4 linked regions of the Nothobranchius furzeri genome follow. The protein of the gene in region 4 interacts with the protein of the main gene of each other region in a biochemical or structural test. Links are inferred from orthologs where the notes say so. Each region holds a gene or a part of one and is shown on either strand. Other genes may lie near its edges.

Region 1 (5,443 bases), about 3.2 Mb from region 4:
AAACTTGTTCATCTGTCTAAATTTGTCAGCAGTAGTTAACTAAAGCTAGGTCACTTCCTGGACTAGCCAGTTCTACTCCGCCTCCCAGTGAGCAAAGCACTTGGACCTCGTGCTCAAAGCCTCTCTGCAACGTTTGTGAGAATCAGACGCAACAACTCATCAGACGTGGAACGCCTGACTAGCAGACCTGGTGGCATCTTATGGCCAGTGAGAACGAGGAGCCACTCCCATCTGGTGACATCACCAACCTGGCCGCCTCTTCTCTGGACCGCCGAGAGCTGCGGTCACACACGGGCATCGTACATCAGCACACGGACGTGGGATGGTTGTATGAGTGATCTCTAGCTCATTAAACCACGTTTTACAACCCAGACATCAGCAGAGCTCAGATACTTAATAAGGTTTTGCTACATGAACATGTGGCTGCAGCCTGCCGCACACGAGAGCCAACTGCTCAGCAAACGGCCTCGAACGGCCGTCAGCTCAGCAGAAACTCGCCGTGTGCGCCTGATTTTCACTGAGGTTTCCGTCTCACGAGACGCTGAGGTGAATATCCGACCACTTAGATATTTTCCGCCTCACGGGGTAAAACCTCACCGTGCTGCTGGCTGAGCTGAGAGATTATAACCAGGGGAGTCATCAGCTAGTCCTGCCTGAAGCTCAGTGTGGCCAGTAGGTAGTTTTAGGGTAGAGCGGCTGTTATCCAGTCAGGGTGTGTGTGTGTGTGTGTGTGTGTGTGTTCACTTGTTTACACGTTCCTAAGAAGGTGAACTTTAGCGTTTGTGGAGGCTGCACTTCAGCGTCTCCGGACATCGAGTCCACGGGTTTCCCAGAAGGAAAAACGCACCATCTTCCGTTCCAGGGGTCGGTAGTGGTGCCCACTTCGGACCAGAGGATTACAATCCCAGCGATCTGATGGAGATCAACAAGCCTCCCATCTTCCAGAACAGGAAGTGAGGCTTTTAAAAATACCCGGCGGGCTGCTGGAGCCGGTCAGCACCAGACCCAACTCAGGACCGCCCGCCCTGAGCTCCAGAACAGGAAGTGAGCCGTCTCGCTCTCTCAAGTGCCGAGCTCCGTTACAAGTTCGGATATTCCCGAGTCAAACACTCGTAATCCGTACAACATAGTGATGTTAGCACACCAGTTTAGCTAGCATCGTTCTCTGCCCTGCGCTCCACAGAACCTTCTGACAGCACAGCGATGGTTTCTCCCTCTGGCTCGTCTGCTTTGTGGGGCGCGCAGCAGGCTCGTACCGGTGTGGCTGTCTTCTACAACCCCCCCCCCCCCCACACACACACACACACACACACACAAGCACTCGTTCACCCGCTGGTGGTGAGGAGCTGCCATGTAGCCACAGCTGCCCTGGGGCGCGCTGACGGAGGCGAGGCTGCTGAGCTCAGGCGCCACCGGTCCCTCCGACCACCACCAGCACACAGGGTGGGTTAAGTGTGTTGCTCAAGGACACAACAGCACGAGCCGGGATCAAACCTGCAACCTTCTGATTACTGGACGACCCGCTCTACCTCCTGAGCTGCTGTCCCATGTTGTGGTCCATCATGAGCAGAATTAGACACTTCCTGTGTGTCAGAAGCAGCATCAGAGTCGGTTTCTTTCTCTGGAGCCGGCTAACGGGACTCCCTCTGCCTGCGCCGCGTCTGGTTAGGCAGGAAAAAGGTTTTTCTCACAAAGACGAGTCCAAAAGCCTAAATCATTTATGCATGTGTCCATTTTTGTTTAGACGGAGCTCCTGTCATGTGTCTCTGCACGCGGGTTTAACCAGCAAGTAGCTCTTTAAAGAGACGACCAGCCTTTCCACAGCAGAGCGGCCACAGGCTGTCCAGTACAAGCCAGACAGTAAGTACCATGACGACAGGACCAACACGCTCACCTGAGACTAAAGCCAAGCTAAACTCATTCAGAGACTCCGCCGTCCTCGTGGCAGGGACAGATTGTTGCAGTCTGGGCCCACAGCAGAGCCGGTCCCGTCCCCTCGGGTCACTAGACGAGTCCTGGGACTCTAAAGGCCTCAAACGTCTCGTAGGACCATGCTAGTTCAGAATCTCTGGTAGGTAAGGAGGTGCCTGTCCGTTTAAACATTTAAATCCATCCTAAAAGCAGCAGGCAGAAGGGGGTGATGTGCTCAGAGCGCCGAGTCCCGCTGGCAGACGGGCTGCAGCATTTAGCACAACTGCAGGCGCCGCAGCAGAGAGCAACCTTTTCACCTTCACCTCATCTCCTTGAGCCAGTATGCGCTAAACGACCCTCACAGGCCTAACGAATGTCTCTCCCACCCCACCGCCCAAAACGTCACTCATCACCTCAGAACGTCGATCCGGGCTGCTGGTGCAGTAGAGCTGAGCTGCTGGCGCTGCAGCTGCTTCGGCACGTTTTAGACCACCAGCTCAGCTGAGTGGTTGGCTTTAGCGAGGAACCGCTCCTGCAGACGCTAACGAAGGCTGAGGAGACGTTCCAGCTGTTACACTGACGCGTTTCAGGCACTAGGGGGTGCTAAAGGCAAGCTGACCTGCACAGGATCCCTTTAATCTGTGACTTTAAAACCAATGGTGACGGTGTCCCTTCCGTCCTGTAAAGCCAGAGTAAGGACCTGAAACAGCTGGAGTGTGTAGACACCAGGGCGGAGCCTGGTGAAGTAAAGCGGTGCAGACAGGAGGAGAGAGAGTGACCCGACCTGTGCAGTGAGGACAGGGACGGTTTCTAGCGAGCCTTTCTGCTGCTCCACCTCCTCCTTCAGTTTATCGATGGTGTCCTGCTTGAGCGCCAGCGCTCGCTCCGCCTCCTCCAGTCGGCTGCTGAGATCTCCCTCCTGTAGGAGAGACCAGAGTCGGCACAACAGAAGCAACGCTGGGCGTGTGTCTGCGACTTTATTCACCTCATTCTTCAGTTTGGCATCGTAGTCTCTAAACAAGCAGGTGTAGGCGTGCTGCAGCTGCGTCAGCTTCTTCCTGAGGGGACAGGAAACAGAAACGCTCAGCTTCTCCACACACACGCCCTTTCTGATGGGAATGTCGCTATCGCAGCGGGAAGCCACCTCTCCTCGGTCACGACGTGTCTCTCCGTCTTCAGCGCCTGCTCCAAGCTCTGGACCTGCAGCAGCAGCTTGTCCTTGGCCACATGGTGCTGCTTCTTCAGCTGCTCCAGCTCCCGCTCTGCTGCCTGCAAGGACTTCACCTTGCTGACCAGCCTGGAGCAAACAGGAGCAAAACCCACAGCCCAAGCATCAGAGAAGGCTCCGTGTTTACAGGGATGCTGACACGATGCAGCTGCTCACTTCTCCTCCAGAATTTTGCGCTCGTGATCGCTTTTCTCCAGGCAGCTCTGCCTCTCGTTCAGTTCTCCTAACAGGGAGGTTACCTGCACCTTCAGAGTCTCACAGTCTTTGGAGAGCTGCAAAAGCAGACGCAGCTTAAACCACCAAACCAGAGCCGCCAGCTGAAGCTCCACACTCAGACTGTCCTACCTGGGCACAGTCCTTGTCCTTCTGCTTGAGCAGAGCTTCGGTTCTGTCTCGCTGGGCCGAGCTCTTCTGCAGGTAGTCCAGCTTCTCCTCCAACTCCCGGTACCTGCAGAGGAAACTCGTGCGTCACTTCCAGCTGCAGCGACACACTCAAGCGACTGTCATTAGAGCGGTTCATCAACCAGAACAATCTGCAGCACGCGTGATGGACGAGCAACAGCAAAACACAGAACGACGAGCAGGACGGCACGAAGACAGCGAGAGGAAGAGGAGCTGCGGGCTCACCTGCCCTGAGTGGCCTGGAGCTGCTCTGTGAGCTTAGCCAAGCCCAAACTGGAAAAGGGACAAAAAGAGACGGAGGAGGAGGGGGGGGGGGGAGGAAGAGGAGGAGGAAAAGGAGGAGGAGGAGGAGGAGGAAGAGGAGGAGGAGGAGGAAGAGGAGGAGGAAGAGGAGGAGGAAGAGGAAAAGGAGGAGGAAGAGGGGGAGGAAGAGGAGGAGGAAGAGGAGGAGGGGGAGGAAGAGGAGGAGGAAGAGGAGGAGGAGGAGGGGGAGGAAGAGGAGGAGGAAGAGGAGGAGGGGGAGGAAGAGGAGGAGGAAGAGGAGGAGGAAAAGGAGGAGGAAGAGGAGGAGGAGGAGAAGGAGTTTTAAAGGTTTTAGTTAAGCAGAAGAGAGAAGTAGCATGCTAGCATCTGTAATCTGCATCAGAGTTATCCAGCAGCTAGAGTTCGGGTCAGAGCGGGTTTGGGACGCGGGACGGTGGACGGTGTCGTACCAGTCGGAGGAATGCTGCGCCTCAGAGCGAAGCAGAACGGTTTCCTCGGCGCCGCCGCTAGCCTGTAAAACACACGCACACATAGGGGAGGTGCTAGAACAGGGGTATTCAACTCCAGTCCTGGAGGTCCGGTATGCAGCACGTTTTAGTGGTTTCCCTGATTCACCTGTGCAGCAGCTCATCAGGGGCTGTGCTGGAGCAGAGTTAAAGCCAAAACGTGCCGGATACCGGACCTCCAGGACCGGAGCGGAGTTACAGCGTAATGTAAAACATAAATAAAACTACGTAGAGAAGTCTGAGCATGCTCAGATCACAGCGTCACCTGCGCCTGCAGCAGTTTGGATCGAAGATGGTCGATGCAACGCCGCATTTGCTCTTTGTCTTCCTCTCCCTCCGCCATCTTCTTCATCAGCTCCTCATTTCTCCTCTCCAGCTCTTCGGTCTTCCTCTTCAGTTCTCTCGTCCCTTCCTCTGTTTTCTCTTTGTGGCTCTTCAGCAGCTGCAGGAACTCGTTGGCGCCCTCCACAGGCTGAAGGGGGAAGCACACATGTCATCTAAAACCAACTTCAGCCCATTTCACTGGTTCAGGACCCATTCCATTTCACTCGTGGTCCTACCGCCATCGTCCCGTCGGTCTGTTTTATGGGCGGGACCTCGTTTATTTAGCTGAGTCAAGTCATAAAACTGTGTTTTAAATAATATTCATGTTTGCTGCTGTTTGAAGCAGTCTGACATTATTCTACAGACCATAATATGAGGTGGGGATGTCAGAGAGTGGGCGGGGCTACGGCACACGGGACCAGCTCACCAGGCTGCGGAGCGGGGTGGTCTGAGTCTGCTGTTCTGATTCATCGACCCGTTTCCTCTCCCACTGGTCCAGAGTCTGGAAACATAAACCAGACTTCCGATTAGAAGAGCACCAAGTCCATCGGCTGCTTCAGCCTCACAGAAGCATCCTGATACTCAAGAGCAGCGTACTGATTACAAACGTTTGCTGTATTTCTGTTGACAGCTGCAGTTTTTACTGTCTCCATCCTGACTGAACAACCACATCTCCCCGTCGGTAGCCTAACCCTAACCCTTCTACTTCTGGACCACGGTCCCCAGAATGAAGACACAATGAATGCAAGTGAACGAGGCTAACACGCTGTTTCTAATCCCGTTTGTTACGTACCACGGACGGTCCGTT
Region 2 (5,258 bases), on a different chromosome or scaffold from region 4:
AGCAATTATACAACAGATGACAAGTTCATTTTTATTACAACTCTATCCCTTGTTTTACCCATCTGTCCTGTACTAGAATGTTTCACCTTTTTTTGTAATTTGTATTGCTTTTATTTCTGAATTGCTCTTATTTTTGATTTATTCACTATATTTGTACTTCTACTGTACCATGTTCAGCGCCTTGGGCTTCCTGACAGGGTTGTGGAAGGCGCTTTATAAATAAAGCTTTGATTGATTGATTGATTGATTTCTCAAGGTCCTTCTGTGCCAAGTCTGTCTTCTTATCTAGGCCGTCCTGCACAGAAGAAAGGACTGAACTGTTATAATAGTGAATGAACAATGTGGTTGAATGAACAAATGTTATATGAATAATAATAATAACTTGATTAATCTGTGCTTACATTAATAAGGTTGATTAATCTGTGCTTGAATGACTGGTTTGAAATGAGTGTTTTTATTACATTGAAAGATTTATATATGATGATCAGTAATGTTTGATATGACAAGGTAATCATCATCTACACTCAGACACAAGGTTCATTAGAGATAAATTAAAGTTAAACGTTATGACACATACATATTTTCTTACCCACAAATCAGAGCATCCTGTATCTGAAAGAAGGCGTGATGTTCTGAGGTTTGCTTGTTAACACCTCTTAACATGGCACGTTCCGATTGGACAAGTAAACCATAACATGAGAATATTAAAACAGAGCTCACTTCACCGTGAGTCAGTTCCAGAGAAAGCTACGGAACGGCCGTCCGGAGCGAAACCTCTTTAACCCAGAGCATTTTTGACAAGCTGTCAAAAACCCTGCTACACGCTGAAGCTGACACAGCAAACGGTTCCTGCAGAACAAAGCTGACCCAGTTCCGACTCCCTAAGAGTCCTTCTAGACGCAAACAATTCCATCGATCTGTTGTGACTCGGGAAACATCTCTGGACTGGAGAGTCGGTGCTGCGGTTAATCTACTGAACCTCTGTGCCCAGAGGTCATCCGACCTTCTTGACCTCCGGATCTGCGAAGAGGGTCTTCCAAAAGGGTGAGGTAGACACAGCATGAATCGCGTCTGATGTGGTTTTGATAAGAATCAACTTCCTGGTTAAAGCAAACCAAATTCTCCTTTTTACACCCAGAACTCAGTTCTTCTAGATGCGAAAGTTCTGATAACCTCACATTCACACAGTCACCATACATTACATCCCATCCACCTAGATCCATCCATCACAGTAGTCTTAGTTAACTTGTCATGTTTTAATTGTTTGGAAAATAAATTCTTACTTTTTATAAACTTGACTCTCTTCTTGAATTAATGCAAAGTCTTCTACAATCCCAGAATAAACAAATCATTCTAAACCTTCTGGTTAAAGACCAATCAGACTGGATTCCCATATTTATATGGAAATTCACATCACATTGGTCAAAGTGTAGGGTAGTATATTAAGCTTTAAAAGCACCCAAATACATACAATAATTACTACGCTACAAATATATTTATTAGATCACCTTACATGATAAAGATTACAACATTCAAGCTTATTTAAATAATGCAAATTCTATTTGTTACGACAAGAAAAGTAACCAGCAGTAAAGGTTTAACTGATGTTCAAACAGAACGTAACACACATGAAGAGTAATATACAAATATTTCTATCTTTACATATAATAAATATATTAATAAAACCTAAACAGGATTTACTTTCTTATAACAAACAGATGATACCAGCTCAACAAATCATTACTTTTAAATGGTAATTTCTTCTATAAAAATGGGTTTGTAACAGTTTGCTAATGGATGAGCTTGTTTCTACTCATGTAGTGGTTAAAAAAGTCAGTTTATCTATTATGTTATGGACATAAAGTGATTCTCACTTAAGCTACTTTAACAAAAGAAATCAGATTTCACATCTGATTAAGGAAGGGTGCACTAGTCAGGTGTGCCGGCTCTTCGGCCGCAGGCGGAGAAAACACCGAGCTGATGAGATCAAAGAGGCTGTTGTGGGAAATCTGCAGGCTGACGTTGGTGCTGTGAAGAGAAGAAGCCCCCTCCGCCTGGGCGACGTCGTGAAGATGTTTACAGATCAGAGGCACCACCTGCAGGGAGGAAGGATTTGTAGTTATGCTGCTATAGGCTTAGACTGCTGGAGGACACACTGACCACTTCTCACACTCTACTGCATTCTTCTACAGTCTGCTCTTTAACTGTACTATTTTGTGCAATTTCAGCTGTTAACTTTATTTTCTCTAAGTGTTTTTCTCCCCAGAAGAAGCTACAACGATGTTCTGCTGAGCTGTGGTGGCCTCATGGAGGGAGCCATCATCTAGCACACTGCTGCTAACCACTTAAACATTCTCTCTCTCCTGATAATAACTTTTTGTTTTCATTGACTTTTGATGTGCTAATACTAATTTATCCGTTTAATTATAGATCCACTAGGATAAATACAATAAAGTTTATCTTTCACCAAATAGAATATTTACTAAGACATCACAATATAACTGTAGACACATTACTTGGTGTGTGTGTGTGTGTGTGTGCGCGTGTGTGTGTGTGTGTGTGTGTGTGTGTGTGTGTGTGCTCTGTCTTCTCGATCCCCAGTGAGTCGTGGAGGATGGCTGCTTATACTGAGCCAGGATTCTCTTGAGGTTTCTTCCTGTTAAAAGGGAGTTTTCCTCTCCACTGTCGCTTTATGCTTGCTTGGTATGAGGATTGCTGTATGCAATTTGCTGGGTTCCTTATATAGGAAACATTATTTCTGATTGGCTTAATGAACTGAACTGAATTGGAATTTTTATTATGTGAAGTGCCTTGAGACGACTCTTGTCGTGATTTGGCGCTACATAAATAAACTTGAATTGAATTGAATTGAAACGTCTATGAGCTAATACGAGCTAAAAAAATTCGGTGACATGCTGGAAGATGTGAACAGAAGTTTTACTTTCACGGTGATGAGCTTCTTTTCCAGAGGTTTTCCATCAGGGAACTTTTCTCCAAAGCACATGTTTATGGTGTATTCGGGAGAGCCGCCATTGTTTTCCGTGAACTGCTTGAGCTCTAAAAGCAGACACATTTGGGCCGTTAGTTTCTGTTTAGACTTGACGTTGGTTTGATTAAAAAGATGAAAACCCACCATGAACAAATTTGTTAAAGCTGAGGAGCTCCACCATGGTGTTTTTGGGTAATTTAGATGGGTTAGGTTGAGCAACACTGGGGTCGCTGGTGCTGGCGAAGACGTGGCATTTGTCCTGCCGCAAAGCGTAGATACCAGTATCTTGCACCTCCAGGAGAAGACCACGCTGGATGCTGTTGAGGATGCGATTAGTGTATTCGACCTGTGATGAAAAAGAACGGGACAGGAACAGATCACATCACAGAGGATGCATAAAAACAAGTTTTAAAGCGACGCAAATGAAAAGGTCTTCCATGTTTGGGTGTACCTGCTTGTGATCCAGCAGACCCTCAGTAGACGGAAAGCAGATGGAATGCAAGCCCGGCATTTCGCTGTGGTAGTGGAGCTGAAGACGGTTGGTTTGCACCGTCGTCTTTAGCATTTTTTTATTTCTGTAGTAGATGAATACCTCAAAGTCATACAGACTGGGCTGCTGAGGTGAACCGAGGACGGGGGCGTGGTTTACTGTAAAGAGAGGGCGGGGATATTTATAGGTGCAGTTCACTCATTTAATCAATTCCTTTGCAGTGGTCTCTAGTAGGAATGAATGCCTTTTAAGTCGTACTCTGGGGAAAAGACACCCTGGTGCGCCTGCTTCGGGATCTATAAGAATGCCAGATCAGAGGAGAGCTTCAGACGGCAGGGTTTGGAGTCTTATTTCCTGAAATTTGGACATCTCACCTCTGACTGGGTAAAAGCAATGCGACTCTACTGACCCCGTTGACTTTGCAACATTGATGTTTTATCTCTACAAATAACACAAGCCTGGAACTGTTTTGTCATGTGGTGGAGTTGCTAATTCTAGAAGTTAGCTTCTACTAGCCGAGACGTTCCCTGCTGTTTCCTCGACGCTAAACCAACAACAGCCTTCCCCGTCGTGAGTGTGACGTAGATCTGTCAGGCGTTTCTAATCCTGGAGTTTCACAGTCTATTTTCCTTCAGAAGCCAATGCAGGAGATAGGTGTAGGAGACTATTTTCACGTTCAGCCTGCATGAAAAACTCAGTGACCGATAAATATTAGAAACAATCATTAAAAGTGGGTTTTTTTCGATAAAAAACACCTTTAAAGGACCATTTTTCACAACTTTTTTTGCTTGTTTTCTAATAAATCGCTCAACTCTCTTTGACTGAACATACTGTCGTTGTAGATCTGCTGATCGTCTGGTAAAAATGGCGGGAGGGTCTCCGCTGCAGCAGGATAGTTTCCAAGAACCGCGGGGTCGTGCTGGACACAATTCTCCCCCCACAGCTGCTCATCTGTATCCAAATTCAAAATGGGCTTCTTAGCTTTATAATAAACCACAGACATTGTAAAAAAGGTTGTTTTTAATATAAATTATACCTGTTGGTTGAGTACCAAGATCCAGAGCCATTAAATCGTTATGTAGGTTATGCTGAGTGGAAAAAGGAAAAAGCGTGAGCATTCGAGTAGATGTCCAACCACTTAACGGAAGTGAAAGTTCCTTAAACTGCACCTCGTTTCCTGAGAGGAAGAACTCTGTGGAAGGGCTGTAAATCTCTGGAGTCATATCACAACCGGAGTCTTGTGTTGGAAGACCCTCAATTTTGTCTGCAATTTGAAGAATGGATCATTATGGTTTTTCTCCCAATAACTCAAAACGATTCCCACTGCTGAGCTGGATCAACGCTCTTACACTCAGTGTTGACAATCTCGTAGATCTTATGAGGGTCGTCTGGATTCTTGGAATCATCTTTGATCATCTTGAAGCGCATGGTGAGGTTGTTGAGAGCACAGCGGAAGTTGGTTTTCCACCTGGCCTTGTCGTTGGGGAACTCGTTGATTTTTCCACTTGCCACTGCCCAGGCCTGTGGACCACAGACACACGCGGCATGAGCCCAAATACGTTTTATGTTTGTGAAACTGGACGTTTGAAATGAATTTTTCATTTTAACGTTATACTTTCAGAGTTTGAATAAAGTTTGGGGCTTACTGTACTCTGAACTTTAAAAAGTAACAACTCAGATATTGAAAATAAAGAAAGTCAGTAGAAAATGCAAATATAAAAATTAAATAGGCTGACAAACAATCTATGGCTTTTCATTTAGCCCCTTAAGCCCTAGGCC
Region 3 (4,195 bases), on a different chromosome or scaffold from region 4:
CACAGGAGAGGAGCCTGATAACTAAAAGATCTGCCTCCCATCCTAATTTTAGATATTCCTGGAACCACCAGTAGACCTGCAGTCTGAGAGCGAAGTGCTCGATTACGAACGTATAGAACAATCAGATCACTGATGTATGATGGAGCTTGATTATTAAGAGCTTTATATGTGAGAAGAAGGATCTTAAAATCTATTCTGAATTTAACAGGTAGCCAATGTAGGGAAGCTAAGACAGGAGAGATATGATCTCTCTTTTTAATTCTCATCAGAACTCTAGCTGCAGCATTTTGGACAAGCTGAAGACTTTTAACTACATTCTGTGGACTTCCTGAGAGTAATGAATTACAGTAATCCAGTCTTGATGTGATAAATGCATGAACTAGTTTTTCAGCATCCCTCCTGGAAAGGATGCATCTAATCTTAGCAATATTCCGAAGGTGGAAAAAGGAAATCCTACAAACTTGTGAAACCTGGGATTTGAATCACATGTCCTTGAAAAGTTACTCTGATTTCATTATTTTTATTAATATTTTATTTGGCTGAATGCCTTTTATTTAGATTCCCCTCCCAGTTTTGATCTCTTTGTAAAAAGATTCAACAGTGAATATGGAAGAATAGGAGTTCCCAGACTGGAATGTTGCAGTTTTAGCGACACCTAGTGGTGTGTAGGGTCAGGTGCACCATTATCTGTAAAAGCTTCAGTGAAGATTGATAAATGAACCCAAAACTTCAGCTACAAAGGTTTCAAACAAGTATATAAGACTTGTTTTCTGTTTTATGAGTTAAAACCAGCTGGTAAAAGAAATATTAAATTACTATGAACCTTTTCACTTATTCAGTTAAATACGGGTTCATTAAAACTGTATTTTGTCTCTGAATGTACCACAGCTGTGTCTCGTGCCTCACTACCTGTTTGATGACCGGCCGTCTGTTCTTTCGGTCATGTAAGCAGTTCGAAGCCAAACAGTAGATGGTCTCCACCTGGCTCAGCTCCCAGTCGCTCATCTTCTTATCCACAAAATCCTCCAGAGTCAGCTCTTCATCTTCATCATCGATGTCGTACCTGATCTCCATCTGAGGGGAGAGAGAAAATGGGAACATGGGTTTGATTTGACTCCACCCAGTCCTGACGTCTTAGGTCTGAGCTGTAGTCACAGAGTCAAGCCCGACAGAGAAAGCCTCTTTTGTGCAGCTTACCAGCAGCTGAGGCTCCTTGTTCTCATTGGCCGGAGCGAGTCCAGATAATATTTCTAACAGCACCTGTAGATGGCAGAGAGACGGGGGTAATTACAGCACTCAGGGCAACAGGAAACATTTATTATAACTAAATGGGTCGCATCCCTGCAGCTGAACGGATGAGAGGAGCATTAAATAGAATTTCAGGTGAACATTGTTTCCATATAAAAACGAAACAGAATGACAGGAACTGCTAACCTGTGGTTACAACATCCTGTGACCGCTACCACATTAATTCATATGCAACCTGTTGGTAATTAACTAGTCGTTAATCCATCCACCTTTACTCTTACCACCTATTCAGCAGCCTCGGCTCCTTCAGTTTACACGGTCCTCACACCTTCACATACATGTAGAGAACATGCTCTAAATGTCATGGTCTGCGTCTGCCCCTTTCTTCATGTGCCTCCTGCTGTCCTCCATCCCTCTCTAGATTCCCTTTTGTGTCTCTTAGCGCCCTCATGTGTCCTTTGTCTGCATTTCAGTTAGGTGTCTTATGTTGTAAAGTCAATTCCTCCCAGGTACTGTGCCATTCCCCTGCTCAGTGTTTGTGTGAGTCCTTCCTTCTGTTTTAGGTTTAGTTTTGGGTTTGAGGTTATCTGCCCTCCATTGGTTCTGTTTCCCACATTTAGATGTCTTCTCTCCAGCCTTCACTCCATACACCTGTTTCCTTAAATGTTCTCTCTTTGTATTTAAGCCCTGTCTTGTCTCTGTTTGGTGTCGGTCCATTCTCTCGTCTTGGATTACTGTGTTCTTGGTCTTCTCGTGTCTCGAGTGTTTTTTGGATGTCCAGATCATTATCTGGACTTTTTTGGATTTTGGCTTCCAGCCTTTGGACTTATTTTTGTTCTCCTTAAAATAAAGGATTTTCTTAATCATCATCTCAGCCTCGTGTCATCCTGGGTACTGCATTTTGGGTCCTACCTACACTGAACCGTGACACTACATGGTCCTTATAAATACATGTTATTGTTCTATTGTTAATCATTTGTTGCTCTTTTTTTTAAGTCAGTTTAAAAGTCTGAAGGTTCTTCATTAAAATTCGTGATTTTTTTAAAGGATTTCTAACTTGGTGCGTTTAAAAATGTTTAAGGCTAGATTCTATTTTAAGTATTTTTTGCATTATCCTTCACAATATTATTTAAACAGCACTACCATCAGGCTTAAACAGTTCACGACCCTGCAGTGGCCCTTATGCACAGAGGAAGTGACATCACCCACAGCCAGCTGTGTTTACGGCAGAGATGGGGAATTGTGGAATCAACAAGTCCGTGCGCCGTGTTTTTCTTCAGCTTAACAACTAAACCAGGTGATTTCAATCAGCACAGCGAATGAAACGTGTTCAGGTGCTGAGCAGAACAAAAACATGGAGATGACTTGTTGATGCCACGATTCCCATCTCTGGTTTACGGACATAAACACAGATGCTAAACGTGTCCGTGGATATTAAATTACCGCTCAACTTTCTACAGACTCCATTCTATTTGTCTTTCGGCGTCATGAGCAGGAATATGTCTACTTCCTTCTCTGTGCATTCATTTGCAATTCCCTGATCCACATTTGTGTTGTCTCTTCTGAAGTTTATAGTAGCAAATACTGAAAAGTCTCAGAAGGGCAGAAAACACTGTGTGTGTGTGTGTGTGTGTGCGCGCGCACGAGTGAGAAACTCACCACACCAAAGCTGAAGACGTCAGATTTGGGGGTGACTTCTCCTCTCAGTGCCTCAGGTGCCATATATGCACGAGTACCCACAATCCTCTCTGTCATCATGGTTGTCGAGGTGTGCTTGGCCGAAGCTCTTGTGAGGCCAAAGTCTGAGATTTTTGCCACAAGATTTTCATCTAACAGGATATTTGCACTAAAAGGGGAAAATGTACAGAAAGTATTTTACTTTTGTTTATTATGAAGAAGTGTTTGGCTTGTTTGTTGATGTTTTCTGCTAAGAGGCAGTCCCGATCAGCTGCCGGCTGCAGATTCATGTTTAAAATAATTTTATCTTAAATCCAGCAGGACAGAAACATTTAAAGGTCAGGGTTAGCCTAATCCTGACCCTACTGCAGAAGGACTTCCATCTATGTACCTTTTGACATCCCTGTGTACATGATGGTTCAGGTGTAGGTACTCCAACCCTCTGGCTGTCCCCTCTGCTATCAAACACCTCTGTCTCCAGGACAAGGGAGGACTTCCGTCCTTCGTGGACAAACACAAGCAGGTAAACGTCTTGCTTTGGTGTTAGAGAGCAGAGAAGAAAGGTGTTTACCAAGCAGGCTAGTCGATCCAGCAGAGATCCGTTCGCCATGAAGGCGTATACGATACACAGCTGCTGCTCATCACAGGAAAATCCAATCATGTCGACCAAGTTCTCATGTTTCAACCTGTGGAGTGAACAGGGTGAGTCAGCTGAGTTTACCGGGAGCAGGACAGACAGACACAACTTACACTTTCAAAGTTTGGATTTCTTGGTCGAACTGAACTTTCAGCTTGTCCAGCGGCATGTCTTCCACCTGTAAGAGACCGTGTTTCTGCATCACAACTCCAAAACATCTGCTTTACAGAAAGCACATCCCCACTTACTGGATTGAGTTTTTTCACTGCCACAGCTATGACATTCAGGAAACCTTTGTAGACCGTTCCAAAGCCCCCCATTCCAAGACGGCGACCTCCATTTGATATTGAGCGGTCGTCAAAGTTCCCAGTGATCCTCATCAGCTCTCTGTATGAGAAACTGGAGAAACCTAATCAGGGAAGATGCAGAAATAATTCAAACGATGCTACTGTCAAGCGAGTGCTGCCACCTGCTGGTTAGTTACGTAAACAGCAACTTTATGCATTTAACTAAACCAAATTAAACTTGATTTATGCTGCACATTTCAAGCATGGCTACACAATGTGCTTCACAGCGTATAGCATGCAAAACACATGCACAAAAAAAGTTCATGAAAATGTTGAACATAAACTG
Region 4 (5,000 bases):
CCTACATTCAGCTTTGAGGCAACGTGCGCACACACACACACACACACACACACACACACACACTGGGCGTTTGGCTCTGAGGCACTGCGGCAGAAGGAGAATCCATCACCTGGGTTTGTGGGACTCTGGGAGGACCTGACCGGTACTCTGCAGCAGCTGGGCCTCGGGGTTCTGACTGAGGCCCAGCAGCACCTTTGGTTCTGATCTTTGCATTTGTTGGCTTTACTTTTCTGATTAAAAAGCAGAATTGGACCCGTTTGAATCTTCTGACCGGTACCAACTCAGCCCGGGTCCGGTCATGTGTTTCTGCGTATGATGACATGTAGGGGCCCAGTTCTGTTCATGCCACTGGTTGGGTCAGAATCTTTTTTGGACTCATTTGGTTCTGGCATTATTCAGGTTCTGTTCAACCCAAACAGAACTGTGTTAAATTAAAGATCCATCGGCAGCTGAAACTGAACCATCCCAGAACCCAGATCCTGAACCTGTTGAGTCTATGATCTTCATTCAGAACCAAATAAGATCTGTTCTAATGGAGCAGAAGCTGATCAGAACCAGTCCTTCAGAGGGCCCGGGTCCACTTTAGGTTTCTTGAGTGAACTCTGACCTCATGGTTGTGATCCAGCTCTAGAACCAGGAGTCTGCTCCACGCTGATGCACTGGGTCAGAACCGGTCCTCGATTCATCTCCAGTTTGTTTGTTTTCACCTTCGAACAGGAAACCTTTAGAGCTCAGTCACGTGACCATTTGTCTGCTCTCTGATTGGCTGGAACGGCATCAGCGTGAAGTTTTGTTGTTTGGATGTTTTTTGTTTGTTTGCAGGAATCAGCTGACTTCACATGTCAACATAAAGGAACGCTCCAGCTGGGGTCACGTGACCTGTTGTGCCTCACACACCTCACGAGACTATAAACTCCCGCCACTAATCAATGTTCCTGAACCTGCAGCGAACTTGTCACGTGTCACCCGGTTCTGTTTACCAGCAGCAGCTAAACACTAGATCCAAACGAGCCGAACCCGAACCCGAACCCCCCTCCCCAGAGTAAACAGCTGGACTTCAGTTGTTTCAGCTCGGTTCGAAAAAAGAGCCGAACCGAACCTGGTTTAACAACACGGCGCACGCGCTGCTGCACGCGCCCCGCCAATTCTCATAAATGAGCGGAGTGGGTCGCGCATCCCTACCTGGATTACCTGGGCAGTCACGTGGTTTTCGTTCCGGTTCCGAACCCTGTCCGCTGGTCTGATCGATCATGTGGGATCATTGATCTGATCGCTCCTCTTCATCCTCCACCTCCTCCTCTTCAGCCGCGCTGCAGCATCAGCACCACAGGCGCGCTCACGACCACGGACACGCACACGCCTCGCCCATTGCGCGCGCACGAGACACAGCAGTTGCTCAGCGGCTGTTAGAGCATCCTGTTCAGGTGAAGTTCACCTGAGCAAGGAGCAGGGGGGGTCACAGGGTCTGACCTTTGACCTCCCAGCTGACCAGCGGTTCTGGAAGTCCAGTAACTGGTGATTACTGGTTTGTTTGTGGTGAGGACCTACACCCACAGGGGGCGCCATCCTCCCACAGGTGGAGGGGAGGAACATGAACAAACATAAAGAAGTCAGTTTTATTCTAATGTCTGCAAACAGTCATTTACAAACGGGCTCATTCAGCAGCGAACTTCCTGAATCCTGAAGCTAAACAGCCAATCGCGTTTGGTTGCTAGGGAGAAATAATGAAAAAAATGTGGCCAATCATCATCAATCAAGCTGGAACATCAACAAACCTGTTATTTATTTATTAATCATTATGGAATTGTAGTGATTCTCTGACTGGAAGCTTTTTCTGGTCCTGGAAGGGAATTCTGCTGGAACGTCGACCCCGAGACGCCCTCCTGCTGGAGAACGGCTGGTGTTTATTTCACGGAGGAAGAAAAAGGAATAACGTACTCGTCCATGATGGGACGGTTCTGGAGACGATCCGGAGCGAAAACGGGAGGCTGGAGTTGTTTCCACGCGCTCATGAAACCTGGTTTGGGGACATCTGTCATGTAGTCCATCAGAGGAGACGGGAGGGGACAGCCGTCCCTGTCAGGGAGACATTTGGGACTCGGCCGCCTGTCCAGAATGTGGTCGGCACACCAGAACTCATCGGTTCTGATGTGATGAAACCGGATCCATTCACAGCCTAAAATGTTTGGTGTTTTACAAGAAGGATTCGGAAATGCTTGTCTGTTGAATTTGTGAAACGATCACGAATAAATAAACGTTTGAGTCAAGAAGGCAGCAGAACTCGGTCCGGTCCGGTCCGGTTAGTGTGGTCCTGAGAAGAACTCCCTCTTAATTTGGGGTTCCATGGTTCTGTCCTGGAGATAATCCAGCTCGTCGCTTTCTTCTGGTCCTCTGAGCTCCTCAGAACGAGTCCCTCCACCTGACCGAACACAGAACCAGAACCAAACATCAGTCTGGAAACAACACCTCGGGAATCAGGACCAAACCGGAAAAACGAGGAACTCCGTTTGGACTGAGACCTGGAACTGTGAGTTCTACGTACAGAAGCCAGGTAATGACTGCAGCTCGGGGGTTCTGGTCCGGTCCAGCTCATTCTGGGGCGCCTGACTGGGACACAAACACACTGAACAGAACACCAACAGGGTTACAGGTCCGAACCGCTAACACCAGAACAACCTTTGGTCTGGTTCTGGTCCGGATGCTGACACACCTGAGGGTTGAGGTGAGGCCGACTGGAGGGAACCTGCAGGAGAGAACCCAGAGAGTTCTGTCGCCACGGCGCCGGGCCCGGAAATGCTGCTGGACTGGGAAGGGAAGTTGTACTGATCCTCGGTGGGAACCGAAGGCTGGTGGCACTGGTGTTCTGGAGGCCGCCGTACACTGTGGTCCTGGGAGCTGGTCTGAGACCGGAGTTCATACTGGGAGCATCCTCGGCTCTCGTCTGTTTCACACGGGCCGGCCAAGGAGGTGGAGGGGAGGGGAAGGGAGGAGGAGAGGAGGCGGTTGGGAGGGGTGAGAGCGGCGTAGGAGTCGCAGGGTTCCACACTGGGGTCCAGAGAGCTGGGGGGTGTGGGGAAGGACCGGTAGGGGTTCTGGGCCTTCTTCACGCCGTCGTTGAGACCGTGAAGTTTGTCAAACACCTGAAAGAAAAAAACTCATCAGTGAGAGACAGCAGGACACCTTCGTAGGGCGGACAGAGGACCGGGACCGAAGACAGGTGGACATTCTCCTCTTCTCTCCAGACGTAGAACAGCCCCCGTGTCAACAGTTTGTCCACGTTCCACACCGCAGCTGGACCTGGTTAAGCGTGGCTCCAGACCCCACAGCGCCCTCCTTGGGTCAAAGGTCACAGATTTTAGGGCTCAACAGTTTCCACAGACGGTAAGAGGAGAACTACGTTTTGATGTGCAACTCCTGCACAGGCTCCTAAAGATGTGCGAGACCATTTTGTAAAGGTGAGACACGCATGTGATCTGGAGGGGAAGCAGGAGAAACCCCAATGTTCCTACGGCCACATTCAGGAATTCTGTATCCAAAGGCTGGGAATTTTCTCCTTGGATCACCTGAAAAGCTTCGATTGGCCCTTTTAGCGAGGTATTCCTTTACGACTCCAGTGGGTGGGGTTGTGGGAGGCACCACCCAGGAGACTATGGTCTGAGTCGAAAAAGGGTAGAAGGCCTTCTCCGGGTCAGGAATGAGGTCCTGTTCACGTGCCAGGGAAAGATGGATCGGGAGATGGTGCTGCGTCTGCAGTAGGGATGCAGCGTATGTCTGCATCGGTATCGGTCCGGTAAGTAAAGCTGGGCTGATATCTGCTTCAGAGGGCGAGGGGGTGATGATGTTTCGTTGTTTGGTCATGTGACAGTGATGCTGGATGGTTTATGGCTTTTTCCCAGACTCAACCACGAAATGGCAGCAGGCAGAGACCCCGCCACCCGACCTCGGATAAGCGGCCGATGATGGATGGATGGCTTGGCAGGAAGGACGGAGGAAAACTTTCGACCCGTGACTCCGCCCTAGAGCCAAGCAGTGATGCGGCTGTTCTGGCCCTGCTCGGTACGCTTGGAACCGCTTGGAAGCTGGAGCTAAAAAGGGGACAGCAACCTGGAACCTGTTACTAATGCACCGGAACAAGAACCTAGACCCGGATCAGAGACGTGCAGAAGAAGTAAACCCTGACCTCCTTCATCGCTGGCCTCTTCTTCCTCTGCCTGTGGAGGCTTCTGCAGGCGAGTGCTGCCACCTGCAGGTATCCATCAGGCTCTGCAGCTCCTCCTGCAAACAGAAGCATCATGGATCTGATAAACGCAGCAGAACAGTCAAGTTCTGAAGGAGTCTGGATCATATCCAAGGCCATGGTTCTGGTATGGGGGGTGGGTCACCTCCTCTGGGTCGAGGTTCACTAGTGAGGGAAGTGAGCAGCAGGAGATCTAGAGGATTATCAAGACCAGCGCTCTGTGGTGAAGATGGAGCCCCCGTTGACAGATCGACTCTCTTTTGAAGATTTTATGACTTATTTGTTTATTTATTGGTGATTTTTTTAACTAATCAATGATTTACTGACTGACGTGACGACTTGACTGATTTCTGTGAGGATGTGAAGACTGAACCAGAAAACAAGCTGCAGCTTTTTTCACACACCTGCAACCAGTCGCCGGTCCAGATGTTTTCTCCACGCCTCTGCAGACGAGCCGTCTGGATGGTCCTCCACCTCCTCCACCAGGTCTTTCTGGGAACCAGAACCAGAACCCAACACACAGTGATATTTCAAAGCTCCTTCAGAAATAACTCGTTAAAATGTTTTATTTAGTGTTGCCGTCTGCAGACCACTGGAGACCCAGCTGCTAATTATTTCACGTGAGACCAGAATCAAACACATGAGGGTGCGTGTGCTCTGACCAGGAACTTCTCTCCGTACGTCCGGTCCTGCTCTGAAGCTGGACGCCCAGTCAGGACCTCCAGCAGCACCTGAAACACAAGGTGAACTCCTGAGGTCAGAA

Evidence for each region.
Region 1: the proteins of irak1 (region 4) and ikbkg form a complex in vitro, tested with the Homo sapiens proteins (3 studies listed by BioGRID). The link is inferred for Nothobranchius furzeri from reciprocal best matches to the Homo sapiens genes IRAK1 and IKBKG.
Region 2: the proteins of irak1 (region 4) and irf7 form a complex in vitro, tested with the Homo sapiens proteins (2 studies listed by BioGRID, with this or other methods). The link is inferred for Nothobranchius furzeri from reciprocal best matches to the Homo sapiens genes IRAK1 and IRF7.
Region 3: of the proteins of irak1 (region 4) and irak4, one has a biochemical effect on the other in vitro, tested with the Homo sapiens proteins (2 studies listed by BioGRID). The link is inferred for Nothobranchius furzeri from reciprocal best matches to the Homo sapiens genes IRAK1 and IRAK4.

What each region holds. Positions count from the first base shown.
Region 1 is NC_091755.1:44,548,699-44,554,141, reverse strand, and holds part of ikbkg (NF-kappa-B essential modulator), read right to left. Parts: intron 5,138-5,443; coding exon 5,063-5,137; intron 4,784-5,062; coding exon 4,577-4,783; intron 4,317-4,576; coding exon 4,255-4,316; intron 3,815-4,254; coding exon 3,767-3,814; intron 3,588-3,766; coding exon 3,485-3,587; intron 3,412-3,484; coding exon 3,296-3,411; intron 3,209-3,295; coding exon 3,056-3,208; intron 2,970-3,055; coding exon 2,696-2,969; intron 1-2,695. UniProt on the Homo sapiens protein: Regulatory subunit of the IKK core complex which phosphorylates inhibitors of NF-kappa-B thus leading to the dissociation of the inhibitor/NF-kappa-B complex and ultimately the degradation of the inhibitor.
Region 2 is NC_091744.1:76,076,060-76,081,317, reverse strand, and holds the end of irf7 (interferon regulatory factor 7), read right to left. Parts: intron 5,001-5,258; coding exon 4,829-5,000; intron 4,744-4,828; coding exon 4,649-4,743; intron 4,568-4,648; coding exon 4,516-4,567; intron 4,431-4,515; coding exon 4,311-4,430; intron 3,638-4,310; coding exon 3,441-3,637; intron 3,336-3,440; coding exon 3,134-3,335; intron 3,058-3,133; coding exon 2,942-3,057; intron 2,097-2,941; coding exon 1,905-2,096; 3' UTR 1,481-1,904; downstream 1-1,480.
Region 3 is NC_091744.1:60,867,493-60,871,687, reverse strand, and holds part of irak4 (interleukin-1 receptor-associated kinase 4), read right to left. Parts: intron 3,972-4,195; coding exon 3,811-3,971; intron 3,741-3,810; coding exon 3,676-3,740; intron 3,612-3,675; coding exon 3,497-3,611; intron 3,427-3,496; coding exon 3,317-3,426; intron 3,095-3,316; coding exon 2,908-3,094; intron 1,261-2,907; coding exon 1,198-1,260; intron 1,075-1,197; coding exon 910-1,074; intron 1-909.
Region 4 is NC_091755.1:47,771,513-47,776,512, forward strand, and holds the end of irak1 (interleukin-1 receptor-associated kinase 1), read right to left. Parts: intron 4,969-5,000; coding exon 4,900-4,968; intron 4,730-4,899; coding exon 4,642-4,729; intron 4,276-4,641; coding exon 4,181-4,275; intron 3,141-4,180; coding exon 2,711-3,140; intron 2,624-2,710; coding exon 2,543-2,623; intron 2,420-2,542; coding exon 2,301-2,419; 3' UTR 1,603-2,300; downstream 1-1,602.